Linked DNA regions of Caenorhabditis elegans. The protein of the gene in region 1 interacts with the protein of each later gene in a pairwise test. Each region holds a gene or a part of one and is shown on either strand. Other genes may lie near its edges. The genes, in order: nhr-32, nadk-1, C36F7.5 and sex-1.

The links.
Region 2: the proteins of nhr-32 (region 1) and nadk-1 interact in a two-hybrid assay, tested with the Caenorhabditis elegans proteins (one large-scale study listed by BioGRID).
Region 3: the proteins of nhr-32 (region 1) and C36F7.5 interact in a two-hybrid assay, tested with the Caenorhabditis elegans proteins (one large-scale study listed by BioGRID).
Region 4: the proteins of nhr-32 (region 1) and sex-1 interact in a two-hybrid assay, tested with the Caenorhabditis elegans proteins (one large-scale study listed by BioGRID).

The regions. Positions count from the first base shown.
Region 1 is NC_003284.9:13,248,797-13,257,879, forward strand, and holds nhr-32 (Nuclear Hormone Receptor family), read left to right. Parts: upstream 1-3,167; 5' UTR 3,168-3,179; coding exon 3,180-3,231; intron 3,232-3,434; coding exon 3,435-3,581; intron 3,582-4,672; coding exon 4,673-4,827; intron 4,828-4,875; coding exon 4,876-4,953; intron 4,954-5,090; coding exon 5,091-5,357; intron 5,358-5,401; coding exon 5,402-5,485; intron 5,486-5,538; coding exon 5,539-5,630; intron 5,631-6,098; coding exon 6,099-6,366; intron 6,367-7,101; coding exon 7,102-7,203; 3' UTR 7,204-7,488; downstream 7,489-9,083.
Region 2 is NC_003282.8:1,453,899-1,461,383, forward strand, and holds nadk-1 (NAD(+) kinase), read left to right. Parts: upstream 1-3,176; 5' UTR 3,177-3,185; coding exon 3,186-3,281; intron 3,282-3,328; coding exon 3,329-3,417; intron 3,418-4,324; coding exon 4,325-5,043; intron 5,044-5,256; coding exon 5,257-5,465; 3' UTR 5,466-5,623; downstream 5,624-7,485. Other genes in the region: col-106 (Nematode cuticle collagen N-terminal domain-containing protein), read right to left, coding at 5,998-6,888.
Region 3 is NC_003279.8:9,573,372-9,579,888, reverse strand, and holds C36F7.5 (DUF236 domain-containing protein), read left to right. Parts: upstream 1-3,562; 5' UTR 3,563-3,807; intron 3,808-3,856; 5' UTR 3,857-3,864; coding exon 3,865-3,945; intron 3,946-4,033; coding exon 4,034-4,187; intron 4,188-4,257; coding exon 4,258-4,766; intron 4,767-4,814; coding exon 4,815-4,949; intron 4,950-4,996; coding exon 4,997-5,086; 3' UTR 5,087-5,130; downstream 5,131-6,517. Other genes in the region: lem-3 (Ankyrin repeat and LEM domain-containing protein 1 homolog), read left to right, coding at 1-176, 367-736, 785-870, 916-992, 1,043-1,172; F42H11.1 (Collagen triple helix repeat protein), read right to left, coding at 2,000-2,089, 2,360-2,494, 2,543-3,298, 3,440-3,532; rig-5 (Ig-like domain-containing protein), read left to right, coding at 5,512-5,740.
Region 4 is NC_003284.9:10,200,012-10,208,946, reverse strand, and holds sex-1 (Steroid hormone receptor family member cnr14), read left to right. Parts: upstream 1-3,525; coding exon 3,526-3,699; intron 3,700-3,813; coding exon 3,814-4,006; intron 4,007-4,929; coding exon 4,930-5,078; intron 5,079-5,690; coding exon 5,691-5,832; intron 5,833-6,219; coding exon 6,220-6,416; intron 6,417-6,471; coding exon 6,472-7,006; intron 7,007-7,060; coding exon 7,061-7,188; intron 7,189-7,238; coding exon 7,239-7,325; 3' UTR 7,326-7,618; downstream 7,619-8,935. Other genes in the region: nucb-1 (NUCB1-like N-terminal domain-containing protein), read right to left, coding at 8,798-8,908. UniProt on the Caenorhabditis elegans protein: Transcriptional regulator which is involved in the sex determination and X chromosome dosage compensation pathways.

The DNA.
Region 1 (9,083 bases):
TTGTGTAGTTCCCCGAAGTATCCTGAACTCCCGCGTACATAGAGCACAACTGGTCAGCATAAAAGGTATTGACTCCGTCAGTTTCTCCAAATTGTTTGCACACCTTAATCAGTGGCTTTTTGATTTTTTTTTTAAAGATTTGACCAGATTTTTTTTTATTTTCTGAGTGTTTTTAGGGAATTTTTGAATAGGTAATTAGTTTTACTTTTAAACATTTTATGATTCAGTCAGTTTCTCTTATTATTAGCTATTCTTCGGATCTTATAAAATCTATTATTGAAATTTCAAGCTCTATAAAATCAGCAATATTTGATAACACAATTCCCAATACCTGGCACAACGTATTATTTCCCGTACAATTGAAGCAGCTGCTAATTTGAAAGAATATTGATAAAATATGCAACACTAAGAAACTCGGCATCTTCATTGCAGATCTGAATGCTAAAATGCGGCTCAGGTCGAACTTCGATGAAAATATATAATTTAGTTTCAGCGTTACTCGGGCAACCAAATATTTTCCTCGCTATTCTAGGGAAACTCGATTATTCCTCCACGCATCATGCTCCAAAAGGTTGTTTCCTGTCCCCCACGTGTTTCTAGTAAATCTACAGAACGTGTGTAGTTTGTTGCAATTGAAGCAGGGAATTGAACGTGATGATCTTTTTGGTATGATAGTGATATTACGATTGGGTACCTTAAAAAAAAAGAAGAAAGGCAACATATGACGTTTTTTTTGAGATTCCGATGAAAATTGAGGAAGTTGATCATAAAAAGTATTTCTCGGATACTCCAATTGTAATGTAAAACTTGAAGATCTGTGAGGAAACCACTTTTATTATATCATACCCATATTTTATAAAAAATTTAAGATTGCAGTAACGCATACAACAGAACTTACTTTCTTAATTTAGTATCTTGTTGGTGTCTCCTACTTTGCGCTCATTGAAATTATGGCTACCAATCAGCGGTAAGAAAAAATTAATGACAGCGTTTTATATGTGCGACAAATACAATAAAAGTTAGACAAAAAAATCGTTTCTGGTCTTTGACAAATAAATTATCCTTATTGTTGTACGTGTCAATAGCGAAATTATTTCAATACACTCAAAAAATTGATAGCTTTACGAGTTTTAATCTTGATAAATATAACCGAGTACCTTGTGTTTCAAATTTGTGCGAGTTGGGGTATGTCGTTTTCCGACATGGTTGTTTATTCTTCAAAAATAATAATCTTGAACACGCTGAACATTTTGTAGTACGCTTACTAGTTTCACAAATTTACATTTCAGTTTTTTAAAAATATTAACTTTCAATATATTATACATGAAATTGAATTAGTTGAGGTTTCCGGTTTTTCTGTAACAGTTCGCGCCTTTTTCTTATTTCATCTTCTTATTTCATTCTCTTTCCACTTCCAAATTTCAATCCAAGAGGCACACTGGTGGTTTCCAATAGGTTTTGTTTACAAGTCAAGAAATTGCGTAGCGATAAAAAAGTGATGCGAATAAAGTGGAAAAGGAGGGCGAGAGGGAGCGGGAGAAGCGGGTGGGAGCGTGCAACGCAACATTGTAGGTAGGCTGGTGTTTGTATTATAATGTGAGATGATAGTTTCGCTTTTTGGTTTTTCTTTGTTGTTTCAGAGACGGAGAGGTTGTATCAGTTTTTGGTCATTCGTTGCGAGAAATGGGAAAACACGTGTGTGTGTGTGTGTATGTTTGTAGGCGGAGGATAAGTATGGGAAAATAGTATTCTCTACTGATGATCTTTGGTGTAAATTTAGTGTTTTTTTTTTGAGGAAAAACGATAATTTAAATAGATTTTGCATTTTATTAGAATATCCACTGATTTTCTGTGAATTTTGGAAAAACAAAAGAAAATACCAATACATGTAGCGAATCAACTGAAACACACGTTTAGTGCCAATTGATATAATATTTAAGTCGATTAAAACATGTCTTTTGAATTGCAATTCGAATTTTGTTGCTTGAATAATTGTTATAATTGTTAGTTTTGATGAATTCAAAATTTTCATATCCATCATTAAAACAGTTCTTGTAAATTTTTGTAAAACATTTTCCAATTTAGTAAATTGTCATATGTATCTAGGTATTAATATTAGAACATACATATAAAGTAACGAGGCATGTTGGTTTTCAGTAGTTTTAAGTTTTTTGGAACAAAATGTTGTGAGAGTTTATGGCCCCAACAAAGTTAAAACTTTCTGAGACACCGTATAACAATTTTCCTGTGCCCTTTCTTACACTATTGTTAGGGTGATTGGGAGCAAATTCCCATGCATTGTTCAACGTTTAACGGTTTAAATGATTTTTGCTAAAGGTATACAAACGTTAATTGAACTTGTATCAGGTTTTAGCAGGAATATATCATTTCCTGAACAAATTTTGTATCAACCTTTGCTTAAGCTTTTCTGGGAAATGCCGCCAGTTTGAAGCATTCTAAGTTACTGAGATTCCTCATTTCTTGTATTCAATAGACAATTTAAAGTTTTATTAGCATGCTGTAGGTAGGTAGTAAGTCGGCAAAAACCTTTAGATTACCATCATTTTTTACTTTAGGGCACTCAAATTTGGCGATATAATCGAGACCGCAAAGAATCAAAGATCGCGACATGATTTCTCGCATTGAGGTCACACATATTCCTAGAGTACCAGATTTGTCCTATTCATCTTACCACGAATGGACCTCATTTCTCCTCACGTTTTATCGTTCGCGTACTTCTTCCTTTTCTTGCCCTTCGTTGTCTCGTCCCCAACATTCATTCTCTGCCTCTCTTTAGTCCGGTTTGCTTGTCCTGTCAATAGCACGTGCAGTCTATTTTCTCTCTTTTCTACTCTGCCACTGCACCGTTTCACGTCTGTCACTCTCCGGCTCTTGTGTGGTCCATCATTTGTACACGAAAGAAGGGGCACCTTTTCGCCGACCACCAACTGTTGTGAAAAGGAGACCAGATGAATTCATGTGCCCCGAGGGGAATTATGTTTACGTAATTTTAAATTAAGTCTAATTACTATGGATTATGACCTGGATGAGCTCATAATATCAATACCGATTTTTATTGCAACCTTTTCTTTAGAACGAATGTTCTTCTTCATTGAAAGTTGTGAAATTTTATCCACATAAAAATTTCAAAAAATGTAATTTTCCAGAGAAGGCATTTGATGTATGCAACGAAGCTCAATCCTTCACACATTGAAATATTGAGCCATACAGGTATTCAAAGTTTTGATTTTTTTTTCGTTTTCTAATTGGCTAATAAGAAACAATATATAATTTTATACTTGTTCCGATTAACGCTCAAACTTAAAACTGAAAGAAGCTTCCATAAAAAACAATAGCCTTTAACTGAAATAATCAATTAAAAAAACTCAAAATAAAAATTTTATGTCCGAATGACTAAGCATAAAACTTTTTAGAACAATGCGTGGTGTGTGGCGACGCGGCGGACGGGTTTCATTACGGTGTTCGATCGTGTCGAGGTTGCAACGCGTTCTTTCGACGAGCGGTCACTTTCAACATGAGTTTCACATGCCGAAGAGGGGGTCGATGTCCTGTTGATAAAAGTGAGTATTTTTTCAAATCTTCTAAATTTCAAAAATTGAAAAAAAAAACGAATTCCGAATAGTTGTGATAACAGGCCTGTCATGAATAAGGTCAAGATTGTTGTTACGTGCAAAACTCTCTTCTACACATAAACACAAAATGTTTTATCAGATCGCTGACTGTTTCAGTTAGTTTCAATTGACTTTTTTTCCATTCCTTGAAGTACGAATAAAAACTGCAGAAAATTCACTACACTTTTTTTAAAAATAAAGATTTTAGAGATTATTTCAACTAATTAAAAAAAAAAGGCAGTAATAAAATTAATTCATCCAAAATTTGAAATGACTTTCGATATTCTGAAATAGCAGGAACATTTGTGTTAGATGTGAACCAAACTAGTAAAACTAGGAAAAACCCCGCGAGTCATTTCAAAAATTGGATAAGTTGCGTTTTTTAGGTAAATTTATGAGGTAACATTTTTGAAAAATTAACATAAATGTATTTTGATTGTTTAAAATTTCACCTAAAGTTTTTGGTGATTTGGCAATTATTTTGATAACTTTTGACTTTCGAAAAATGCTTAATTTTAAAAACCTGGAGTGTTTAAACACATGGTTAAGAATGATAACTCGACCATAAAACGTTTTCGGCAAAATAAAAACTTAAAATCGGTAAAACCTAAATGATTTTTCATTTTTAATGTTAATAAAACAATTCAAACTATTCTTCTAACAGTTACTTTGTGGTATTTAAAATTTTTGCAATAAGAAGGTTATTTTAAGCATTTGCCCTAATGGTATCACTTTAACTTAGAATTACAAAGATGAAAACTCAATGTTTCTTAAAATTTTTGCATTGAACTAGTTTTCGGTATTCTAGGTAAAACAATGTTGCCAACAAAAATAAACGTGTTGCTTCAAAACCCAATATAGCAACACCCGAAGTGAAAGACACTCTCGCATCACTCGTGTTTTGTTGCCATGGAAATGAGCTATAGCTTCAATCTTATGATAGTTTCAATCAAAGCAATATGATTGGAAGTTTATTTAAACTCACTTTTTTTATTGGAAAAATTACGAATGGCTTGTTTTTAAACATTAATGTTTTCCAGATGCTCGTTGTGCTTGCCGAGCTTGCAGATTAGCCAAGTGTTACGCGGTTGGGATGGATAAAAAAGCAGTTCAACCAAAACGAGAAGTGCATACCTCCAATGGATCGTTCGATCAAAATGACCCCGATTATGATCTTCGATTAGGCGGAACACGGGTATGATCTTCCTTTTGCAATTATTTTAAAAAACAGAAAGTGTTTTAGACGTCTCCAAGCTATGAGCTCAGCAGTGATATGACCTCTCCTGGCTCCGCGTTCACACCATTGAATATAAATTTAGCAGTGAGTTGTTTTTTGTTATGGTTTATATATGATAAGAGACCGAAGTTTATTCTTTTACCTAATTGAAGTTATCCTTGATATATAAATTAATTTCTTGATTTCTTCAAATTTAACATCTATTATAAACGTTTCTTTAGGATTTCACACCAGCAATTCCTCCGTCACCACCTAGCGATAGCTCCCTGATAGTCAGACAAGTATACGATTTTATGGAACAAAAGCGGCGAAGGCGAGCAATGCTTTGTGGAAGTCTAGAAGAAATATTATCCGAGCAGGAAATGACGTTACGTCACCCTGCCACGTCAGAAGACTTCACGACAATATTTCAAGCCCAAATGGTTTTAATGTTCGAATGGGTTGAAAAGTTACCCGAGTTTCGGATGCTTTGTGATCACAATGATAAGGTATACACACATGTTTCTCTAATTATGTACAATTTAAATTCCAGACAAAACTTCTACGAGCATTTGCGCTCAAATACATGCTGTTAGACAATGTTTATCACACTTATGAACTTGGCTTTCGAGATCGGGTTAGTTGAAACTGAAGATGTACATAACTGAGTAAAAATGTTTTTATTTTTAGTTAGTATTGGTCAACAACAATTATATTGTTCCCGGTGTACCGATTAATTTTAAAGGAAGTGATGTTGTGGATGAAAATCAAATGAGAGATATGTAAGTTTTTTTTTAACTTGTGAAAATCGTTTGGGAATTTAACTTTCATATTTGATAGATGAAATTTTCAAATGAACTTTTCATTCAATCAAACTTCATCTAGTCCAGCTATGTTAATGCTCTCATTGCAATTGCAACAGTTGCAACAAAGTATCAGATATTTTTTCAGCCTGTTTGCACGCATTTTTTTTCAAAATATAGTTTTTGATAAATACATTTTCTAAGCAACTTGGTTTAATGAGCTACAAAACTTGCATAATTCTTATTTGAATTGGCTAGATGTCTTTTTCGTCTCAAAATTGTTTTTTCAAATTGATGAATATATGAAATGGTTTAGCCAATTCCAATCCCATTTAATTCATATTATACATAGTTCCTCAGCTTACAGTTGCCAAATTTAACATTCAGGTCTTGTTAATAAAAGTTCTCATTTTACAGCCAACATTAATTACAATACTTTTTTTACAGAATGTTCGGCGAACCCATGCGTGCTCTAATCAATGAGCTGGTACTGCCGATTGGCAGTCAGAACATGTTATATGGAGAGATTATGACGATACGAAGAATTATGTTTTGGAATCCTGGAAACGTACAGCTATCTGAAATGGCAAAAGCGTTATCTGCCGAAGCATGCAACGTCGCTATGAAAGAATTGCAACAGTATTTAATATCTGAAGGAGTTGATGATATTGAAGCTCGGATCAAGTTTATACTTCTGTTGCTTCCATCGTTTACAGTGAGCTTTTTAGAGATAAATAGGAAAAGTTGCCAGCATAAGTCTAAAAAAAAAATCTACACGGTCAGCTATCTTTCAAGTTAAAAAAACCATAGTTGTAATTACCGTATTTCCTCTATCAGTCTTGCAGCCTCTATTAGTCTGGCACCCCTATTAGTCTTGCACCACTGCGGGCCAATCGTATTGTCTGACCAGCAATAATTCGTAGAAACTTCAACAAATTCGTCATTTTTTGGTTACATTAAACATGAAGGTGTTCAAATAATTGATAAAATCATTGAAAAGTAAATATTTTGTACTACTTAGACGGTTTCAAGACAAGTTTTGACGAGAATTGGTCAACTTTCCAATGTTATAAGGCAATTGAAAATTAGTCTTGCAGCCTCTAATAGTATTGCAGTTTCTATTAGTCTTGCACCCCTGCGGTTCGATTGAAAATTAGTCTTGCATGCAAGACTAATAGAGGAAATACGGTAATTAAATATTTCCATGTTCCCAGTCGATTCAATAACGCCTTGAAAAATTAACCAATGCTAAATTACACTAAATTAAAAAAAGAAATCATATATCAAATCAAACAATTTTACTACATTACCCACATAAAGCCCAAGATGAGCACATAAAGTTTTGCTCCGACCCCTCTAGGGACATTGTCTTTATTCAATGATGACTAAATATATGCAACTGAAATGTGTTTTTTTTTTTAGTTTCTTCATGGAATTTTTTATTTTGCAGACTCATCACAAGACAATGTACGAAATTGTGCGGTTAATTCCTTCTTTCGGGAAAATGAGTGATTGGAATCAATTTATGGACGATGTTCTCAGCGGAGTCTGATTCATCTTGTTTCTTTAAATTTAAATTTTCCTGTTTGGAGTCCCCGCCAGACCGAGCTCTAAACCCCCGTCCTATTATTCAAAATTCATAAAAATTGTTGTGACTTTTTACACCATCGAATCAAATTCTTGTCAATTCTTGCTGATATTTTTCTATTCTTTCAACCACCTGAAATCAAACAAGTCAATTTATTCCATTTCTTTCAAATACATGCCATAGTCATGGTCCTTTGTTGTACATTACTGTTAAAAAAAATCAAATACGGAAATAAAAATATTGATCAGATGTCACAGTTGTACTGTTGTTCTGAAACTTTTTTATTGAGCAAGTTCTGGTAAATGTTAGCTATTAAAAACTTGAGTGCACTGATTAATTAGGATGTGAGTTTTTGGGTCTCAAAAAAAAACATTTTGTTGTTGCTTTGCATACAATGCCGGTTAAAGTGTTTTAACTCAAAATTTTCAACACTTTAAATTACTAAAATAAGTACCATTTGAAAACAAATGAGTTTATTAGAAACTTGTAGCCATAAATCCATTGATTAAATTTTTTTCATTAAACGTTTAACGCAACTTTACCAAGCTTAGTACAAATAAAAAAGCGCCAATTGAGATTTAATTTAATTAAACTTTCAGTAATAAAAAAGGTCAAACATATCATTATAGAACGGTTTAAATAAACTTGATTTTTTGAAATTAAAAATTTATTTTTGGTAATATGCGAAGTTCATGAAAAATATGGAGAAAACCTAAAATTGGTACTTGTGTATTACATGCCCTCATTTTCAAATTAAATTAAATTGTCATTAATTTCTCCAATTAAAATAAACGTGATATACATTATTCCTCTTTAGGCTTAGAAAATGTTATTTCCTAAGCCTAAAAATACAAATTGTGGTTCACGTTTTCATTTTTCATGGCTTAAAAAATTACTATTAAAATGAGGGCATGTAATACACAAGTACCCTAAAATTTAACCCCATTTTCGAAAAAGATTTGGTTATTTGAGCACAAGTGAAGTGGTTTCAAAATACTTCTCTAACTTACTCTTTCTTAAAAAAAAGACATTTTACGATTTTTTTTTGTGACTTTTGGAATTTAGTTACAGTCAATAAAATAATTAGTTTTGATTTACTTAATTAAATGAACTTAATGAATATAAACAATTAGAGCAAATACGGGACATCTTTTTGTAATATAGCGATAAGTTGTTGAGAATATATATATGTGCATTTATATGATTTGAAAGTTTTTCGAAAACTAATAAAGTTTTGGTAGCTCAATTCATACTAACTAATCATTAAAACATTCAATTAGATACATTGCAAAAATTATGGGCATACATATAAAGAAGTAAATCAAAATTTTCACTTTTAAGATAAGAAACTCAGAATACAACCATTGATAACGATTAAGTTGAAAAAATAAGGTTGTAATCATATTTTTGTCTCATTAAATTTTTTTTCTCAGTTCTAGGTCACTTTAAAACTTGCACCGTTTTTTAAAGATTTTTTTTCAGTTTCCAATTTTCATCTGATTCTTCATAAATCTCTACCTCTTTTAATTTTTATTTAAACCTCAGTGAAGTGAAGTACTGTTCAATTATAGTTTTATTCGATAAACCAAGTTTCTCACTACAAAAAACTTTTTTAAGAGCCGGGTGTCTGGTGAACTGCCAATCATCATCAAATCTATCTTTTGACTTATCGTTTTTTTGATTGCCCTTTTTGCCCATTTTATGGTGCACGAAATCGTTTCTTCAAGTGATAAAAAAGATAATTTTATCTGATAAACCATCATTCTGGTCAATTTACCTCCGATAATACCCACCGAGACAGCTTGTTCCGCAACCGATTTCTGGTGAATAGGGACATTGTACCT
Region 2 (7,485 bases), on another chromosome or scaffold:
TTTCAAATAGCAAACTTTCTGATTTCTATCATTATTGTTTTGAAAATCAAATTGTGAAAGGAAAAAAAAATTTAGGTATGTTTTAGCATAAGGCGCGTATTGAGGCGAGAGTCAGGCGGAGATCCGCCTTAAGGCCAGACAGGTAGGCGTTTTAACGCCTACACAGAAGACCTATCAAGAGCCTTTTCGGTGGATGCACCATGTTTTACAATTTATTCAATTTATTTTGTAGTTCCATCCCAAAAATTTAAATTATTTGGTTGAAATTAATTGTATTAACCGAATTTGACAAATTCGAACTCAAATTCCATATTCATTCAACTCGAAAAATTGTATGTTAGATCTTATAGACCACAAAATAACAACTTTTTAACTATTTTGTATTTCTCTCTAAACATCAGACAAGATGTGCCCAAAAAAGTGACAGTAGTCAATTAGTGCTTGTTTTGTAGTTTGTAGTCAGCCACGTGTCATTCACGTGTATTTTGGTCGTTCTAAACAAGACGCGGTCATAAAAATGTGTACAGTGATAACGATGATGACAACATCAGGTGAGACCGGGGGTTTGGCAAAAGGACACATCATTTAAATAAATATATGTACTGTGTTGGAACCGGTGGGATTATTGTGGACAATAAATAGATAAATGAGCAAATATTATTGTTTTGAGCAAGGTGACCACCGGAAGAAGGGTCACATGGCAAAACGACGTGGAGTTAAATGTATTTTTAGATGGCTTGAAAGAATTTCAAAAACTTCTATATGTAAATAGTTGAATTTTAAATATTTTCAAAATTAACTTTGCTGCAAGTCATGGTGCATCGACCAGAAAAACCTCGCTTAGCATTAATTTCGCTTGCCTGTGGTCTGATCAAAATTTTGTCAACTAACCAAATATCAAGCATTTTTCTAGTTAGAAGTTTTTCAATATCTTCGAAAATAGCAGAGATATAGGCTCCTGTGGTTGATTTGCAAAGCATGGTGCATCGATATCTCAGTTGTCTAGGGGGTTATCATAATTTTGTCAACTACTAAAATATTTTTCAAATCTTTTTCTGTAACATTGCAGTTAAACTTTTCTTGTTGTATTTTAAAGTAGCAAAGATATAAGCCCTCAAAGCTGTTCAGTTTTGTGTGGTCACAATGTATTACAATATCACAATGATCACTTCCATAAAGCCCTGCTGAAGCCCAGGGCACAAAATTTAGAAGGGTCAGGTCGCAATCTAGCCATTTGTCATCATGGCTACGCGCACACTCACACTGTGTCTCTTTGTGTCTCGGCGGTGTGCATGTGCCTTTAAATACCCCCTTTTGAATCATTCACGCGTTCTTTGGTTCTTTGGTTCTCAAGAAGAGCGGAGAGCAATCGCGTAATTTGTGCAGCCTTTTTGATAAGACTTCTTCATGAGTTACTAGATTTAAAACTCGAATTTTTACTATTTTCTTAATAAAAAACTCCGAATTTCCCCCATTCTCACCCATTTCTCTAGTCGGACACAAAATTTTGTGGTCTCCCGTGCTCTATAGTTTTTGGTCATTGGTCACATCGTATGTTTCGAAATCATCGCCGCTGTTTTTGTTTTGAAAATTGATTTTCAACGAATTCTCTTTGGTTCTCCCAGCATAGAAAACGGTCATTTTTCTTTTTTTTTAATTGCCGAAGAAAAAAATATAATGGAATCAGTGGAGGCGCAGACTGTTAGAAAGCATTTGCACTGTTTATTGAACGGTTTGGCGCCCGTTACTCAGTGGAAGTGAGTGGTATCAAAAAATGCGTTCGGTTGCATTTATAGTTTTATGAGATGAATATTTTGTAATTTAACAATTTTGTGATAAATTTACTTTTCGACGAGGTATAGAGGTTTTAGCACAAGCTGAATCCCGCAGCCTTTTAAAATCAAATTCTCATAACGTATTTTTACTTTTAACTCCTTTTAACTCCTTCGAAGTAAAAGTTATTCAACAGTTGTTAACTTGAGCATGTAGTGTTTTTTTAAGGCGGCTATAACTCAGCGGAGGTTAATGCTATGAAAAAGATGAAAATTACAAAAATGTTCAGTTTTATGTGGTAAATAATCTTTTAATGAACAATTTTGCGACAAATCAACTATTCGACAAGATACGGAGGGTGCTAGCTTCAGCCATTGGCACCCTACTTCTCACCACTAAACCTTTATGCTCCTGTAACTCAGCGGAGGGTAGTTTTATGAAAAAGTTCACAATTACAAAAATGTTCAGTTTTATGTGGTAAATAATTTGTTAGTTAACAATTTTAGGATAAATTTATTCTCCGAGGAGATACAAGGGCAGAAATTTCAGTAGCTCTCTTCATCGGCTCCCTTGCCGCTTCACCACCAAACTTTAGGCGCCTGTAACTAAACGGAGGTTACTGTTATGAAAAAGTTGCAAATTACAAAAATGTACAGTTTTATGTGATAAATAAATTGCTAGTTTAACAGTTTTTTGATAAATCCACTTTCCAACAAATTACAACGATTTCTAGTCTTCGACACTACTGCTCACCCTTCACCACTGAACCTCCAGGCGTCTGTAACTCCGCGGAGGTGAACTCCATTAAAAAGTTGCCAACTACGAAAATACGCAACTTTTAAAGTTCTATATTTTATTAGTTGGCATATTTTTGATAACTCCTCTACTCGTAGAGATATCACAGCTTAAACTTATACTCCTTATACTCCAGCCGATCAAAACACCATTTTTTCCAAAAAATTCCATCATGGCGTCAAGTATCATTTCAACACCATTTATTTACTTTGTGTCAATTCTCAATTCTCAACTTTCAATTTCTCCTCAAAAATCAAACATTGCGAGCACATCTGAGCACGAGGGGAACAAACCACCACCTCCCACACAATTTCTATTGTTGTAGCCTACCGGAACGGTGGGCGGCGCCCAGACGTTCGGAAGGCGGAGCCCCGTTTATTTATAAATCGGGAAAAATTTTTGAAATTTTGAAATTTTGGAAATTTGAAAATAATGGTGCCATTTGTGTTGATTTTTTGGCGAATTCTCGAATGACTTTTCGTGTGTGATGAGGCGGCTGAAAAAAAAACTAACTGATAAGCTTTTCTATCATATTTTAACCTTTTCTCTCTCTCTTTTTTGATTCCATTAAATATCCATTTCCAATTTCTAATAATTTATAATTCCAGCCGTCCATCATGGCCGCTTTGGCAATTTCTCACTGCGTGAGCCACGTGGCGCGCCCAGTTTCTCCGGTAACACAAGGAAAACCGAGCGGAAGCAGACAGCAGCCGGTGAGCCAAATTTCGATTTTAAGCCTTGTTTTGGAGCAAATTTTTAGGCGATCCGGTTTGCGTTGATCCTTCGAAAGAGCACACGATGGCAATGGGAGAAGGAGCAGACGGGCTTGAGCGATGCTGATCTGAAAAAGTGAGTTTTACAACCAAAGCTGCTCGTCGATGCATCACGTTTTGCATCTCCACTTTGAAAGCTCATATCTTTGTTCATTTTTAAGATACTATAGGCACATAGCTAAAAATAATTTTATTAGTTGACAGTTTTCTTTTAAAACCAAATACAACGAGATAAAAACTGTGGAAGCTGGTTCTAGTCATTGCACCATGTCTCACGCCATTTCTAAAGCTTGTAACTTTGTTCATCTTTTAGATACTAAAAAATTGAAACTGCAATAATGTATGTCCATGTCTTCCTCCACATTCAGAGTCCATATCTTTGTTCATTTTATAGGTAGTAAAAAGTAAAAAATTTTTAACTACAAAACTGTAGAAAATCAAATATTTAAATATTTTGTCAGAAAGCAACTTTTCGATAAACCCAAAGCCAAATGAGATATAAGCTATCAAAGCTGGTTCCGGTCGATGCACCATGTCTCAAGCCACTTCTAAAGCTTGTAGCTTTGTTCATCTTTTAGGTACTCAAACAATTGTTATTACAAAATAGTAGAAAAACATATATTTCATATTTCGCCTGTGAGCAACTTTTTGATAACGCTAAAACAGACAGAGATATGAGCTACCAAAGAAGATAATTTTCGGTCGATGCACCATGTCTTAAAGTTCATATTCAATAGGTTGTTTCCTGAATTTAATTTTAATAACATTAACACTATATAAAATATGTATAAGGTGTCCGGTCGATGCACCATGTTTTGCTTCACCTATATCCTATCATACAGAAATTTGGAAAATTATATTTAGGCTAAAAACCGAAACTGTGTATTTTTCCCATGGTGTCTGCAATTGACAAAAGTCTACTGACCTCATTTGAATGTAAAAATGTCTATCAGGCTATATTCCCAGCTACTAAATCTTTTCAGGCACCTCTCCTCAAAAGGCACCAAGGTTCAAGAGCTCCTCGAAAACGAGAAGAAACAAGTAAACGCAGTGCAGGAAATTGTCTCCGAACTTGGCAAAGCAGGCATCTCCACAAAAGTTGTGACTCGCGAGCAGCTAGCCCAGTACCTGCCTGAAGCTGATCTGGTGATCTCTGCCGGTGGTGATGGAACCTTCTTGGCTGCAGCTTCCGTGGTCAACGACAACACCCCAATCATCGGTATCAACACTGACCCGATCGGAAGTGAAGGACACCTGTGTGTCGGTGGCAAGAATCCACCTCGCGATTTGATCGAGCGTCTGGTCTCTGGAAACTTGAAGTGGGTGCAGAGGACGAGGATACGGGTAACAGTAAAGGAATCCCGGAACTCGATTTTCTCATTGAAGAGGTCTGAAAAATCAACAAACCTCGCCCTGAACGAGGTGTTCATCGGAGAGGATGAAGCCGCCAAAGTCTCAACCTACAATATTTCCATCGACGATTCGCAGACAGTCAAGCAAAAGTCCTCCGGGTTGATTGTGTCGACTGGGACCGGATCGACGAGTTGGTACCTCGGAATGAACAGGATCGATGAGAATGCGACGACGTCAGTGTTGGAGGCACTGCAATCACTTGGCGTGGATGTGCCGATCACAAGGAATTTGGTGGAGAAGGTGGTGAATTCGGTGAATGAGAAGATCCCGTTCGAGCCAGATCATCCTAGTGAGTTTTTTGAAAGTTGATTGGAATTTGGGTTTGTTGAGTTGGAAACAAAATGTCAGGGGTATTTTTGATTACACAATTCCAAATATAAGACCCTGCACAGACATGGAAAAGGACTGAGAAAAGGACCCCATGGCTGGCCTCATCGTCAGGCTTCAGAAAACTCAAATTTGAGAATTTCTCATTATCTCACTTTCACTTTTAACTTTCCAGGTTTCGCCTTCTCAATCCGTGAGCCGATCTTCAACGCCACCTACAAACGCACGGCGACCCGCGGATTCGCCAGAAAGATCAAACTCGAATCCCGATGCACCAACGGATACCTGGTCCTTGACGGATCCACAAAGATCCCGTTCCCACGTGGCGCCGTCGCCACGATCGAGGTCAATCCGAATGATGCTTTGAAAACTGTGATTGTGTAACAATGATTTTGTGTGTATTGTTTTTATTGTACGGGTTTTCGGGTTGTCGTTTTTTTTGTGAATTATGAATTCGTAATTGTACATAGATTTTATACGATTTTATGTGATACATCAATTTGAAATTTGAAATTAAAAAAAAATAAATTCATTACTTTTTCATAACTGTATAAAATGGTCTCAAAAATGTGCTTCAAATGCACATTTTCTCAAAATTTCAGAGATCCATCGTTGCGAGATCCTTTGTCGTGGTGAGACCCCCCGTGGTGAGATCCCCGCAGTGCGATCTATCGTGGCGAGACCTATCGTAGCGGGACCCATCGAGGCCAGACCCTCCGTGGTGAGACCCATTGCAGTGAGACCCTTCGTGGTAAGACCCATTGTGGCGAGACTCCCTGTGCTGAGACCTCGTTCAGTGCTGATAATCTGATATGAAAAATCTGAAACCATACAAGCTGAAGTCATTTCGCAACCCCAGAAACTAAAAAAACCACAAAAACCATTTGAAATGCGACATTCTTTATTAAAAAGCTCTCTAATGAGTCTTGTAGATCTGCTCTGCCTGCGATGGCGCTGCCTCGACAGCCACCGATCTCGTTGGGCATGGACAGTAGGCAGCGTCTCCACCTGGCGCGGCATCCTCTCCCGGTGCTCCATCGGATCCATCGACTCCAGGAACTCCGTGTTGTCCTGGTGCTCCTCCGGCGCCTGGAATTCCATCGGCTCCCTGCTTTCCGTTCTTTCCATTGGCTCCCGGTGGTCCAGGTGGTCCACGACGTCCACTGTTTCCTGGATGTCCTGCTGATCCTGGAAGGTAGGTTTGTCCCTTGGCTCCCGGTGGTCCTCGTGGTCCGGCTCTTCCAGGCTTTCCTTGATGTCCTTGTGGTCCGGTCTCTCCTGGTCCTCCTGGGGATCCTGGTGCTCCATTCTGTCCGTCTTCTCCTGGGGCGCCATCGGTTCCCGGCTCTCCTGCACAACCATCTGGCCCTGGTGGTCCAGCTGGTCCTGCTGGGCAAGAGATGCAAGCTCCTCCAAAATTCTCCTTGATTGCCGCAGCATATCCAGGATGTCCATCAGGTCCATCAAGCCCATCTGGTCCGTCAAGTCCTGGAGCACCATTTGGTCCACGTGGTCCAGGTGGTCCTGCTGGGCATCCCTTGCTCTTGGCTCCACAGTTACACTGAGCGTTTCTCTTATTTCTTCCGAATAGCATGGCGGTCACAGCGGCACGGGAAGCTTCAGGGGCTCCGTTCTTGCGGAGCAGCTCCTCCCAGGCGTCATCAGCAACCTCACGAGTTGTTCGGGACTCTTCCATCACGTCGTTGTAAAGCCCATTGATGTCGGAAACGATAAGGCACATCGTTGCCAAGGATCCGATTGTGAGGACCGTAGCGGAAGCACATGCTAATGTCCCGAAGGCGCCCATCTGAAATGAAATGGTAAGGAATCAAAAATTGTACTGAATCAAAGTTAATTGTTTGCGAGGAAAAGTAAAAGTCGGAAAGTTTTGCCAATTCCATTCTTATCAGGTGCCATTATATACTAACCCCCAGAAGTTCCGCCTCTTTACTGCGAATCCATGATAAGAACCGGTTTCAAGACGGTTTCCATGGGGAACCTATACGCAAAAAATGTCTTGCTGTAACCGTGATAAGAGAACAGAAAGAGAAGGGGAAGTTGGATTGATTGGAACAAATTTCATTGTTAGCGAATAGAAGAATTTTTCAATTTTTCATTGGGCATTTGTATAACACGCAGAAATTTAAAATTAGTTTACTTAGTTCTGGAAACTTCATGGATCTCTAAAATCCAAGGCAATCTACTCATGGTGCATCGACTTCCTCGTTTTCTGGTGGTCATGGTGCACTGAAGTGAGCTCCAGATGGGGATGCACTAGGGTTTGGAATCCCCGAAGCATCCGACACCTTTCGGGTCATTATACAGCGCGTGATGGATCCAGGGATATGTCGGCCGTTTTATGTGTCCGGAATAATTGTGGCCGCTTAATTCATGGAGGTGCCTG
Region 3 (6,517 bases), on another chromosome or scaffold:
GAAAAATTCGACGTCTTCGAGAAGGAGAACTGAAGAGCGAGCTGAAAAAGTTCGGAATCTCTCCAGCAGGACCTCTGGATGCTCGTACAAGAAGACTATATGAGAAGAAACTCCTGATTGAAAGACGGAAAATTACGAACCGTGGATATTCACCGGATGCTGACGTTGTTTCATGTGTAAGTTATATATTTTCATTTCTCGATTGTAGAATTAGTAAAGATGAACATTCGTCTCTCTAGATTTGTACTCGCAAAACCATTTTCGCGAAAATCTTCGATATTTAAAAATCAAATACTTGTAAAGGTGAGAACAACTATTTTGCAACAATGAACTACTCCTAACCTTTACTCGATTTTTAATTTTCAGAGAAACTCGCCTCAACTTGAACTCGTCCTTCGCAACGGATTTTTGCCAGCTGATTTTGCGTCGAGAGCTCGAAAATGTGATGAAAACGTTCGGAGTGAATTTAGTGGAAATGGATTCGGATATAATGCGTTTTGCTATCTCATTATGGATCCTCGAATTTTGGGAAGCAATGTGGAGAACCTTACACTTGAAACCTTTGTACGATCAATCTTTTACGTAGGAAAAGGTTCAAAAAATCGTCCATTAGCTCATTTCATTGATGCTCGCAATGAACGGAGAGACAAATTGGATAAACTAAAAACTTGCGAAAAGTTGAAAACAATTGATGAGTTATGGACGCTTGGATTTGGTATTCCCCGACATGAAATATGTAGGTTTTGATATAATTTTATTTCAACTCATATTTTCTATTTTTCAGCCCACGGAGTATCTGACGAAGAAGCGTTTGTGCGAGAAGCAAGTATTATCGAAGCCGTGAAACTTAAAAATCTGAGGAATAAAAAAGTAGGTTGAAAAATAAGTTTTATACATTATAATCTCCATTTTCAGGCCGGCGAATTTCACGGAACCACCAAAAGCTGGGACAATATCACTAAATCAGAATATGGAACATTTTTGCTGGATAGGTGAACATCTCGCCATTATTTTTCAATCTAAATAATTGATAATATTTTAGAGCATTATCAACTTTGAAGCTGGAAGGTATTCGACTTATCACCGAAGATAACCTTCCTGACAGTCTTTATCCATATGTGAACAATCGACGTGGAGCAGGTGGTGGACGGACACCAAAAACACCGAAATAATATAAATACTTCATTTATTCCATATGTTTATATTTCAAATTTTACCTCATAATGTGAGCTTAAAACTAGTTTTTTTTTCATCTTAGTTCCCTAGGCCTGTAAGATCTTTCACTTCATCTTGATCTCGTTTCATATTTTCTTATTATATCGTTTCCTCCATTTGAAAAACTTATTCATAAAACTTTTATTATAATTTGAACGTTTTCTTGTTATACAACTCAAGTGCAATTATACTAAATCTTCCCATTCGTCGTCGTTTCTATCCTTCTCACTTCTTTTCATTTTCTCCTTTTTGAGCTCAATTTTCAGTCGTTCAACTTCAGCATTCAATTTCTCGATTTTTGCATCTTTCTCGATTTCAGATCCCTCAAACATTTCAATTTTTCGTTCGTGATTCCAACTCTGTTGCCTCAAAACTTCTTCCAATTGCTCTGTTCTCTGCTTGTAGTATGTCAGAACTTTTTGAACATTCTGCATGCTCTGAAAATTTAAGAATTTATGGATATAAGTGGTTCAAATGAGTCCAAAACTGAAGAAATAGATATAAAATCCAAAAAGAAAAGAGCATCTGCTCAGGTTGTCCAGGAGACGACATCGAGTGGTCAAGAGGGTTAATCGGATAATTAGTCAGAGCAAGAATGAAAATACAAGCGTTCTGAAATCGATTGAAATGACGGGTTCCCATATATTAATAATTTTATAGTCTCGTAAAATAATAAAGAGTGCGCGCAGTTATGGGTTACTGTAGTGTCTATTGTTTTTTTTTAATAGGCAAAAACAGTTTTGGCGAATAAAAGCATTTATTGTAGATTTCAGATCATTTTCGTCTATTTCTTCTTCTTATCTGCACCGAACACATCTCCACCAACAGCTGCCAATGTCTGGTAGTTTGGATCCATGGTTGCTGCCTTTTGACCCTAAAAAAATACAAAATAAAATAAATATTGCACCGAAATTAAAAATCTACCTTATTAGTCGGTTGAATTGGCTAAAAAAGTAAAGGTAAAGGTTGTCCGTTTGGTTCAAGGGTGAGCCTAAGCCTCCTGCGGACAAGAGATTTATCAGGGTTGCTGGTGGCGTTTATATCTCTTCTAGTCTGAATTTAAGCCGTACCGGGACTAGCGGTATGGCCGATTTACTTTTTTTTTTAAAAATAATACAATATTGCAAGAAAATTAAAAATCTACCTTATTATTCGGTTGAATTGGTTTCTTTCCTCCAGGTGCACCAGCTCCTCCAACCTTCTTATCAGCTCCAAAAACATCTCCGCCAACTGCTGCCAATGTCTGATAATTTGGATCCAATGTAGCAGCTTTTTGATTCTAGAATTCAAAAATTAAAATCAAAAATCTTGAAAAAAAAAATGCAACTTTGTTCATTGGCTGAAGTGGTTTCTTTCCTCCGGCAGGTGCTCCACCAGCTCCTCCACCATCCTTTTTATCAAAAACATTGTTATTAAGACCAGCCAGCGTTTGGTAGTTTGGATCATGTGTTGCTGCTTTTGCACCGATATTTGCAGGAGCTTTTGGTCCACCAGGTGTTGCAGCAGGAGCACCTCCACCATCCTTCTTATCAAAAACATTATTATTCAATCCAGCCAATGTCTGATAATTCGGATCGTGAGTAGCTGCTTTTGCATTCTGATCAGCTGGAGCAGCTGGACCTCCACCACCTGCAGCTGGAGCAGCACCATCCTTCTTTCCAAATACGTTGTTATTCAATCCAGCCAATGTTTGATAGTTCGGGTCGTGGGTTGCTGCCATTCCGGGTTTTGCATTCGCTGGTGGAGCTGGTCCTCCTCCTCCTGCGGCTGGTGCTCCATCCTTCTTTTCGTAACAATCATTGCCGATTCCAGCAAGAGTTTGGTAGTTTGGATCGTGAGTTCCTAAAATATATTGAATATTATCAATATCTTGTTTCTGAATAACTAACCAGCCATTGGAGGTTTTGGTGCTGCAGCAGGGGGGGGGGGGGGGGGGTGCACCTCCAGGAGCAGGAGCACTTGGAGCTGCTGAACCACCAGGAGAAGGGGTTCCGGCTTCAGATCCTTCCCTTCCATCAGGAGTTTTCGCACCATCTTTTTTGCTGCTCAAACTTGATTCGCCTTCAGCTGATTTTGCGTTTTTCTGAATAACGTAATGTTTGAAGTAAGACGACCTGCTTTGTTTAGAAAAAAAACTATCGCGAATTACACAACCTTTGTAAGCACGTAGGTGGGATGATGTGCTTCAGTACAACACTAGAACACTAATCAGCTCAAAACTCACTTTTCCTCCACATCCAGGCAGTGCTATAATTGCTGCAAGAGATCCGGCAGTTGCCAAGATCAAAGCAATTCCAATGATATCTTGAACGTCCATTGATAGCGTCGATAGTCGCAAACTTGCAGTTGACAAGCTCTTTATTGAAAGGTTTTTTGTGAAGCGTTGCACGTGTAATAAGAATAATGCTTGTTTAAATTATTAGCGCATTTTTCCTATTAGTACATTACATGCAAGCCTATTTTTCGATTTGTCATCCAATAAACTGCGTGTTCTAAAAAAATTAAATAAAATAGAAACGCATCAAAATAATCATTACCTTCCAAAACCTTGTTATTTCGCAACTTTTACTCTTGGACGCGCAACTTAACATTGTAAGTTTTACAAATTTCACTTTTGACGAATCGAAATTCTCATTTTCAGAGAGGAAAATGCTGCATTTAATGTCATCGTTTTTCTACATATTCTTCACTTCGTGTGCAACAATTCAGGTTCTGTTCTTGTGCGGAAAGGTATTTTATTCGAAATTTTGGAAATTTGGATTTGATTTTTTGGAAATTTGGAATTTGGAAATGATTTGGAAATGAGAATAATTTTCAGAAAAAGAAAGGCGGTAGCAAGTTGGAAAACTCGGAAGCAAGCACAAAAAGTGGAAAAACTGGAAAAAGTGATAAGGGCGAAAGCTCACCGACTCCAGCATCAAAAGATGCCCCACCAGCTCCTGCTGCTCCAAATGCAAAACCTACAATGGCGGGTAAGTATTTGACAGCATTCAATCATGTCTATTCGATAAATGTTGAAATCAATAAACTCGTAACTTTCAGCCACGCACGATCCAAATTACCAAACACTTGCTGGACTCAACGACAATGTTTTCGAAAAGAAAGATGGCGGAGCAGGAGGTGTAGGACCAGCTCCACCAGCAAATGCAAAACCCGGAATGGCAGCAACCCACGACCCGAACTATCAAACATTGGCTGGATTGAATAACAACGTATTTGGAAAGAAGGATGGTGCTGCTCCAGCTGCAGGTGGTGGAGGTCCAGCTGCTCCAGCTGATCAGAATGCAAAAGCAGCTACTCACGATCCGAATTATCAGACATTGGCTGGATTGAATAATAATGTTTTTGATAAGAAGGATGGTGGAGGTGCTCCTGCTGCAACACCTGGTGGACCAAAAGCTCCTGCAAATATCGGTGCAAAAGCAGCAACACATGATCCAAACTACCAAACGCTGGCTGGTCTTAATAACAATGTTTTTGATAAAAAGGATGGTGGAGGAGCTGGTGGAGCACCTGCCGGAGGAAAGAAACCACTTCAGCCAATGAACAAAGTTGCATTTTTTTTTTCAAGATTTTTGATTTTAATTTTTGAATTCTAGAATCAAAAAGCTGCTACATTGGATCCAAATTATCAGACATTGGCAGCAGTTGGCGGAGATGTTTTTGGAGCTGATAAGAAGGTTGGAGGAGCTGGTGCACCTGGAGGAAAGAAACCAATTCAACCGAATAATAAGGTAGATTTTTAATTTTCTTGCAATATTGTATTATTTATTGTTTTTAGGGTCAAAAGGCAGCAACCATGGATCCAAACTACCAGACATTGGCAGTTGTTGGCGGAGATGTGTTCGGAGCTGACAAGAAGAAAAAATAGAAGATCAATTACTTGTACATTTCCAATAAATACGTCAGATCATTCACTTTTTCCAGAAGACAATTTATTTTGATAAATAATTAATTTATTGGATATCTGATTGCAAAACTGTGCTGTAATTGTACTGTATTGGTGATGTACGTAATTCATTTTTGATTTCTCAAGTGACTTTATTATTAGGTTAACTGCAGAAATCAACGGATTGATAATTGAAAGTAGTTAGAGTATCCGTTTGATGTGTCGATAAAAAAGGATATTGGAATGTTCTATAGATCATATTGGAATAATTGTCTTACAATCAGAATTGCTCACTTACATGAGTTAGTTCGCTCAATAAAAACAACTTTAAAAAAGTTTTTTTGCTCTCTTCATTGCTCAATCGTCGCTATTACCCATGGTTTGTCTAACCGGAAAACAGGAATAAAATGTGTGTGTCTTCTTCTTTTTCTTTTTTCTCTTCCACCCTCTTCCCTTATTTCTCCCGACTCCATCTGTGTCTTCTTTTCGGAAAATGGACCGCCCGTGACTCCGCCCTCTCGGGAGCACCTACCTTCAGAGGAAGAGGTCGCTTTGTCATTTTATTTCATATCCCCCTTCAAGAGAAAATGTATCTATTCGCACTTCTTTGTGGTGTATTGTTAGTTTTTAAACAGGGTAAGTTTTCTACATTTTTTGTTGTTGCCAGAGGAAAAGGGGGAGAAGAGTTTCGATATAGAAGATTTAGAAAATTAAATTTGGAATCAAACTCTCGCGCGGAGGGGATATTATTAGTTAACAATGAGCTGTAACGAAGAAAGGCAGCTCTAAGAATCCAAGAGACTCACTGAATTCCCAAAAAGTTTTTCATTTTACTTTCTGATTGACCATCATGCTTGTCGATGGAACTCCACCGACATCTTCCTCGATTTTAGTTTTGCCTACTATTTTGTGTCACCTTTTTGATGGTGAGTAATTTGGAGGTTTATGTAATAGTCAGCACTTTGAATATGTTTGACCACAGGGTACCTTTCTTATTTAAACTCTGAAAACGTTTCCCTTCCAGTGTCAAAATACCGGAGGCGCGGTCCACCCGCCTTTCAGTCGCCTTCCTCGCGACATTCCGAGAACGGACATTTTTTGTTACATTTTTAAAATGTATGTTGAACTTTTGTAATTTATTTCAGTGCTTTTCTTCTAATTTATTTTTCATCTATCAAATTTTTTGGAGGTGTTCTCTGGGCGAGAGGAGAGTCAGTGCGTCGTGACGTCATATATTCTGTAGTGCAATTTCATGTAGAAAAAGACCTCATTCATGTGAAACCTCATATAAAACTGTTATTCGAAAAATCCTTGAAAAAACTCATAGTTTATAGCTTATAGCTTATAGCTTATAGCTTATAGTGACAGACAATTATTCATACTTTCATATCCTGTCTATAAGAATTTTTGTCA
Region 4 (8,935 bases), 3.0 Mb from region 1:
GTTTTTCCGTATTGAAAACTTTAAAAAAATGTCTAACAAATGTTTTTCTATAAGTTCATAACTTTAAAAAATCACTAGAAAAAGTGCAAACTCACTCCATCAGACAATAATTAACTAACTGACCAGTGCCTATCAGTGACAACCTTTTTATCAGTAATTCTCGCTCATTTCGAGTGACCACTCCTAACACTACTTTTACACGCTTTACCCCATTTGAGAATTCTTTCCAATTATCATTCTCCGAATAAAAAGGAAAGTTGCAACTTGCACAAAGCACCATCGTCTCTTATTGAAACCATCTTTCTCCGTCATGTGGTCCATTGCGTATAGCCCCCTGGTGAGTAAGAGAAAATAAGATGCAAGTATACCATTAGAGTGATTATGACAGTCACTAAGCATTTCAATTGATATGTGCGTTTTGAAAGTTTTGTAGGATTGAATGATAGATAAATTGAGAACTACTGGTTGATAGTGTTTTTTTTTCAGCTTCACAGAAAATAATTTGTTTCATGCTCTTATTTTACGTTTACTCTCAAGTAACACACATTTATTTTCTAATCGATCGAGTATACGGTTTTCGTTGATCATTCTTGTATACAGTCTCATCTTCACGTCATCACCACACTGAGTCCGCACATCGCCTCCTTAGTCAGACAGGTCCACATTCACATTGCTGTCAACTCGCCATATTTCTGTTTTCTCGGTTTCTCCATTAACCGGCTCATTTGTTTTTGAGTTTCATGTTGAAACAACGGTACACTCGTATTTGCACGTCTTCGCCATTTTCAATTTTTCCGCATTTCCCTGCTGTTCGAGACGGTACGCTCAATCCGTTCGGAAAGTTGGATCTCTGCACCAAAAAAAGGTGGCAGAAACTGCTATGCACAATCTGATTTCTTACAGTTGTCAATTGATGACGTCACTAGAAGAAGTAATGAATACAAGTTTGAGTAAGGTATATTACTGATTCTCTGAATCGTGTAGACAACTATTTCGGGTGCCATGTTCCAATAGAGCTGGAACTTCTTTGATTCTATTTTACCTTTGGAAAATTTGAAGAGTGCTCCTTTTTAATAGATTATATTCTAGATAGCCTAAAAGTGGGGTAATTAAAGTGCACTCTTAACCAACGCAATAGCCGTTTGCTAGTCTCCCTTTTTGATTTTAATTACGGTCACTGGATTTTTATGTTTCCACTAATACCAGATTTACACTTTTGGGAAGTGCAATAGAAAACCATGTTGTTTTGCTCTAAGATTGAAATAGCTTGAAATTTAATAACCGATCCTTGATTGAAGTTGTCTTAGATATACATCCAGATCAATATATTTTTTTTGCGATTTTTATATTTTCTTAATTCAAACAGTATGAATATTAGTTTCAGTGTTTTTAACACTTTCAAACTTTCTATCCCTTTAAAACAACTGAAAACACAGAACATAGTTTTTTCTATTACAAATAATCATTATCAGTTAATTATGCCCCTTTTACGGACCATGCATTGCACTATCTAATCAACTTCATCGGTTAGATAATGTTTTGTGTCATGGAAAACACTTTCCCTTACGTTTTTCCTGATGATTTTTATCTTGCTTATGTATCTTAAATCGTTAAGAGTAGAGAAAAATGAAACAGCTGTTTTCTTTTTTTTCTTGGAAAAATGCCTGTGTAGATGGAAGAACATGGTGCAATAGAAACAAATTTATGAATTGTTCAAAAATTCGTCATTTTGAAGAAAGTACATCGACAGATGCACAAAATTTCGCAGAGAGTCTTTTATGCTTTAACAGTTCCAGCTGTCGTTTTGATGAATTTTCCATAAAGTACAAAGTTAGGGTGAAGTTTATTTGTGAAACGGGAATGCAATTCGTGAACTCATAAAGATTGTGCATGTTACTGAAACGTCTCTTCGTAATAGAAACCGGGGAAAAGGCATAAGTTGCATCATTAAGAGATGTTAGCTAGGGAAAGATGTGCACGAAGGTGTATTGTTATGTCCGAGTGTACAAGTGGAGGACGAAATATTGGTGATCTAGAATTCCGTTAGTAATTTAGATGCCTTACTAGTTACACAGTTCACGCAATAGCCGGCGAGCGTTAATTGTTGAAGTTATGTGCTATATTATGTGCCATTTTTGGAGATATTAATAATATTCACTCTTATTAGAGTATCCTCCCGTCCTATATATTTCATCTCCCAAGTTGTGTATGCGCAAGCGATGTGCACCAATTTTTAAAGGTGGTTGTAAACCGGCAGACCTCTTTCCAGACGGTGTCTTGTTGTGCGCATTCGCCTCTTCTCCTCCCCTTTGCAGACTGTTCATTTCTCGATCACAGTTGTCTCGTTTTTCATCTCCAACAATTGCGGACCACTGCATTGCCTCCTCTTCTCTCTCAGTCCGCACTTTTTTGGATCGATATTTTGTTTTTCATTGTGCATATCTCTAGTTTGTTGAGTTTTCTCTGTGTGATTCTTTGCAACTCTGTAAACATTATTATCTTACTCTTCTCACTACACGTCATCGCTTCCCAACATCTCGTCACTTCTCCTCACCCAAGAGGTGTCAATTCACACCTTAACATGATGGTGAAGTGAGCTCGAGTGGATAGTACTTCATCTCGAGCCCTCCTTCTGTTGCTTTATCTTACCGTCTCCTCTTCCCTAGTTTTTTCCTGTGAGAAAGGCACGCAACCATGCAACACATTGTGTATGGAATATCTAATTGCAAATTGCGCAAGAATTGCCTAGAACAACGCAATCATTTTCTCGGGGGAGAACGCAGTAATCTTGTTCGCTCAAACTATCTTCGTTTATTTTTGTGCGTGATTGTGGACTTGGCTGATCAATTTTTGCATCCATGATTTCTACCAAAAACTTTTAAAAAAAAAATGCACACATGTGTAGTAGCGGCTTAACATGTGAAGGACTATACTAGGTAGTTATAAATTGTATCACATCTTCTCAACCTAGTTGAATTTGTTGGAAACTTCATAATGCTTTTGGAAATTGTTCTATTCAGATCACTTTTGAATTTTAATTTAAGAAGTTGAACACGTTTCTTACTTTCCGGTACTAAAATATCAATTAAAAGGTAAAATTTTACTCTAAAACCATGTGTGAAGCTCACCTCATGCCACCCGTTTTTTTAATCGAAATGTGCTTGCTTGTCGAGCAATCTCCCAGTGGTGCACTCCTCCTCAGCTCCGCCTATCCTCCTCGTCTCTCCCCATCCTCTCACCCACAGGCAGGCATTCAGCGCAGATTAATACACGATACCAGCCTTCCTTATTGCTAGTTAATAGTTCCCTGCTTTAAAAACTAATTGTTGATTTCTAGATTCTAGCTTTCCATGTTCTCTTCATCAAATTGTTATCACGTTTTTCTCGAACTGCTGTTCTTTTCCTTTGTCAGCAGATTTTCCATTTCTTTCTTTTACCTTTCAGATAATTCTCTTACCAATTCTCTGTCTCTTCCCACTGTGAAAGTTGTCCGTTACTGCATTACTCAATAATTTTAATTTTCAGATGAGTTTCGAAACAAAACCTAACTATCTGTTACTGACAAATCCTGACACACCGCTTTCTGTATGCACATCTCCATACTACAGCCCTTCTGGAAAAACAGCTTCAATTCCATCATCAGAGGCAAGCAAACCAGAAGGAACAAATGGTCAATGGTCACATCTTCCGACTGGAGCTGTAAGTTTTTGTCGTCATCATTTTCATATTTTGTTCTGATTTACAAAGTTAATGCGTAGTTTCAAAATAGAAATCCAGGAATTAAACTGAAAACTAAATCTTCTCAATTTGCAGACGTACGTGACGGATGAATTCTCGTCAGAATTCCAAATCCAAAACGGATCGACAGCAGCTCAAAGTGGTAACGCCAACAACTACGCTGACCCTCTCTCACACCGTCGCTACTTCAATAACGTCAATGGGTACAATCACCATCAGTTCTATGATACGGCGTCACAAGCCAGCGTGAGCTCGCCGGCAACAAGTGGTAAGTTAGGGAGTCTATTTCTATCAAAATCTATCAGTAGGTGGGGCATATCATCAAGTGTGTGGTGACAAGTGGCAGCAACATCTACAGCAACACAGATTTTTTTCCTCACCTAAGAACATGTGTCTGAGAAGTGTTGCAAGTTTCCGAGTTTCTCTCGCCTTTTTTCTTTATTTCTCCCATTTAATTGATAGAAGAATGAGAGCAGAGAAAATGAAAAAGTCTAATAGACTTTGCAATCATTCTTCATCTCTTCCCTCTCTGGATCATATTTAGCTCGATAGGGACCAGATCAGTTGTGCTCTGTTCCACGTATCTTCCTGTATTCTAAGATGGCCTACTTTTGTACAACGAAAGTGAAGGCAAGCGGCTATGACGTGGTTGCGTAATAATCTCCAGGTTTCGTCATTTCTTTGGACGTCCGCTGCCAGACCACAGTGATGTATGGGTACGGTAATAAAAGAATGCCGATGGGTGAAAGAAGAGGAGAAGACGAAGTGTAATAAAGGAGGAGAACGTAGAGAACGGTGAAAGAGTGCGATGTAGGCGTGGTAAAAAGACTGTGAGAGTGAGAGAGACAATGAGAACGCATATGCCACAAATCTTGAAGATGTGGCTAAGAGCTTACTGAGTCGCGGAGAGAACGGGACCAAGGAAAACTAGGTAAATACTATCACGTCATCATTGAGAAGGAAACAAATATGGTGTGCACAGTGTACTTCAATAAATTTCACTGGTATACATAGCATGTTAAATCTGTAATCTGCCAAGTTGAGTTAAATTTGTATATTTCTGATGTGTAAATAAGTTTAGAAAAAGAATAAAACAGAAGAATTCGAAGAATCGAAGAAATGTTGTATGACCATATCACCCACTTGAAAATTGACTCTTCTAAAATTTCTTAGATAATTTTACATTTACAGTAACTTCATCGTTGTCTCCTCCTGATTCCTTATCAAATGGTCATACCACTCAACGTCATCACATTGGGAAGGCGATCTCATTTTGCAAAGTATGCGGAGACAAAGCAAGTGGATACCATTACGGAGTGACGTCATGCGAAGGATGCAAGGTAGGCATGAATGGTCCTAAAATGATCACTAATCACGTGGTTCTATTGAATTTAATGAAACCCTTCTCCACTCATAAATCCCCTTCTTGTTCTATTTACGAAACCTATATTTATGACCGTCTTATTTGATTTTTTGTTTTCCCTTATGTTAGACCAAGAGCGAGAGAATGAGCACTTCCCCAACACAAATTGCGCAATTATTTGGAGACTGTGTATTGCTATGTGCATTAAGGACTCTCTTTTCCCATTGTGCGAGTGTCTTGGATGCATACTAACATAAGAGGAACAAGCCTTACTCGGCAAATACATATAATGACGGTTAATAAAACATGGTTGGTTGGTCTGCTGAGCAAGTGCGTTAGATACAAAGAAAAACATCAACTGAACGAGAAAGTTTAAGCGGATAAGATGACTAATTTAAATTTGAATCCCTCATTCTTCCCTTCTTTATTCTTGGTCATTTACACATCACAACGCCCCGCTCACATTTTGAGATTTCAAAAAATGGTTCGACTTCAGCACAAAGGCAGTAAATCCTTTACAAGGGGCGTACTCTTGGCACCGACACGTGCCATCAAATTAGTTTTTTTTTGAATTAACTATTTCTTTCAGGGATTCTTCCGTCGGAGCATTCAGCGCAAGATTGATTACCGGTGTTTGAAACAGCAAGTTTGTGAGATCAAACGCGAGAGCCGCAACAGATGCCAGTACTGTCGTTTCAAAAAATGCCTTGATTCTGGAATGTCAAAAGATTGTAAGTTTGATCAGATAGAAGTGTGCAACAATTTTGTGGTGTCAAACACACCTGACGCAGTTGGCTCAATAGGGTTTACACAAATGATAATTTATTAGAAATCAAAGTCTATTGAGGTTTTAAGGTTTGATCACTGTGAAGCCTCAATAAGCTGAAACGAAAACGATTTCTATATTCGTCATAAAACCTGAAACCATTAGTTTTTCTGAAAACATTTCAAGCTAAATTTTCACATGTTCAAATAGTGTTCTATAGGATTCACAAGTACTCATTAAAAAAAGAAAAAACTCATAAAAAAAAGAAAACCGTACCTGTTTTAAGCAAAAACTTTTTGGAAGACCGAGTTCAAGTTTTTCAAAAAAAATAAAGATTTAAATGTTGTTTCAGCTGTTCGCCAAATGAAGTTCAGAAATGCAATGCGAGATGATAAGAGCCCCGATTCCGTTTTTGTTCCGGAAATCTCAACGCTAGAACGGCAAGAAGAAGTTGACGCCGTATATGAAGCTGTACTCCGAGCACACACTACCTTCTCATTTTACACTGACATTAAAATCCGAAGTATTGTTGCAAGACCATTCAATGTCGTAAGTAACTTTTGGGCATGTTTTTAAAATCATACTAAACGTTAAAATGTTTCAGAGAATCAATGAAGACTCAAAAATGAATCGATTGAATGCCTGGCAGATTTATGCTCATGAAATTGACGTGGACATCAAGGAAGTTGTAAACTTTGTGAAAGAAATTCCAAAATTTAATTTCATTAACGGAAACGACAAAGCAGTTTTACTCAGGAAAAACGCTTTCCCACTCTACTTGCTTCGCATTGTTCGTGGAATGTCGAACAGAGGGCTTATGCTTCGAGATGGAAGACTCATTGACTTTAAGTCTCTTCAACTGCTCTATGGATCATTGGCGGACGAAATGCTTGCATTTGCAAACCATATCATTACAATTGGATGTACAGACGGAGATATTGCACTATTCATTGTCCTTATTCTTTGCCAGCCACTAACCACGGAACAACAATTTTCTACTAACTTCAAAAGTCAATTGCAGTTGCTGGAAATGTTTGATTTTTACAAGAAAGTTCTTTTCCAAAAAATGACATGCCGCATTGACGGATGCGATACATACAAACAACTTATGAAATGTATTCATGAATTGAATCGACTTAGTAAGTTGTATTTCATACTGATATTTTGTTTTATTTTATATCAACTTTTTCCAGATGAGCTACATAAACAGCAACTCAATATTCTTCGAGAAAATTTGTCGTTTTTAAACCTGCCTCCTCTCGTTGTGGAAATGTTCCAACTCTCAACACTTCCGTTGCCTGTTAACCATAACAACCAAGAGGTAATTATTAAGGAGCTATAGATGGGAGGTTAATATTAAACTTAATTCAGAACCAATATACTCCTGCTCCAGAGCATCAGAGCCCTCAACCACAGCAGCCAACGCCAAATCAACAACAGACTCCCGTTCACTGCTAGCCACCTTTGTCAGATTCTCATCCGTTTTCATTCCAACACAATTCACCTTCAAATAATTTCGCTTTAATGTAGTTAAGTATTCAATCTCTCCTTCCTGCCCGTTTCCAACCCAAAAGTCACGTGTCTGATGACTGCTGTTTAATAATTCTTGCAAGGATTGCCACAATCCAGCATTTTGCTTTCTTTCTCAATAATCTTAATCTTTTTTGTCATAAGTATCACAACCAGACGGTTCTGGTTTATTCACGATTGGTATCATTAAAATGATTTCCGTGCTATAAATTTAGTATTTGAAAGAATGCCTTAATAACTTCAATATTGCAGTTTTTAATAACCCTCTGTAGGTCCAGTCCAATCGAGCTCCAAAAATGAAAGGCGTACCGATGTCAATAGAGAAACATTAATTATTTAATTTTCAACGAGTTGTAGAATTACTTTCGTTATTGATTATGAAAACGTATGCGAGTAAAACCAAAAACATCGACATCGAACATCGGAAAAATCGAGACACATGGCCGTCGACCTCTATCAGAATGGCTCCGATCTCGATTGAACTGACTTTTACCTCGAACAAGCAACTTGTCACAGGGTTCTTACTATTCAGTATTCAGCAAAAAGTGAGCACACCTGTATTGACTGAACAATATAGAATAGTTTTGGCTATTCCGTTAGGAGATGTTAATGCATTATGAAAGATTTATTTTTTTCAAGACCAAACGAAGGCATGATTCTTTTAACTTTCCTAAGAGCTTCATCTTCATGCGTTAACTGTGCTAGAAAACAAGAAGTTATGGTTATGAGAAAATTACAGGACGAGTGATATTGTTTTTGAAATATAAAACAGTGAGAATCAAGATTTTCAATAAAACTGTGCTCGCGGGCGATATTCTAACTACAAAATAACTATTTCCAAACGCAAATGTATCATCTTAACCAATGGAGATTCTTGTTTTTGCTTCTTGAAATTAATAATTTCGGTTCAGTGCTGAAACTTTTAAGCTGAAACAAATTTTGACTTTTTTCACGATTGCCGTGACGGAACCAATTAAAATTAGGTTTTTCTTTATATGTTCCGAATGTTTAACTCTTTCACTCGATTCAAATTTTCCAATTATTGAATTGAAGTTTTACGCTGTCTATTCGCAAATCTGCAAAGCTCTCCAAAAGTTTTTTTTTCTTTTTCGCACTGCAATCCTAGATTGGTGAGGTAGTGTTTTTTATTTACTTATTTTCATATATAAAAATATTCTGATAAATGCGTTCATTTCATAATATGCAGTTTTTGTCCGAATTGGGATTAACAGGTCCAATCGACAAAGGAATAGACAGACAAGAAATGGCCAATGACAATTCTGAATGTTTGAAAACCTATTCAAAAGTATACAACCCGGGTTTCGACATTAAGTTACATATTATCTCAACCAAAAGCATTAGCATTTTAAAACAAATTAGAAATCTACAACTGATATAAATTAAATTCCGTATGTTGGATCTTTAGTGTGATCTTGGATGGGTTCATGGTGCACAGGGGGCAAATTTTGTTGAGGTGGTTGTTGCGGTGGTTGCTGTGGAGGTTGTTGTTGCTGTAAAAAGGGTAGTAATTATTGGAT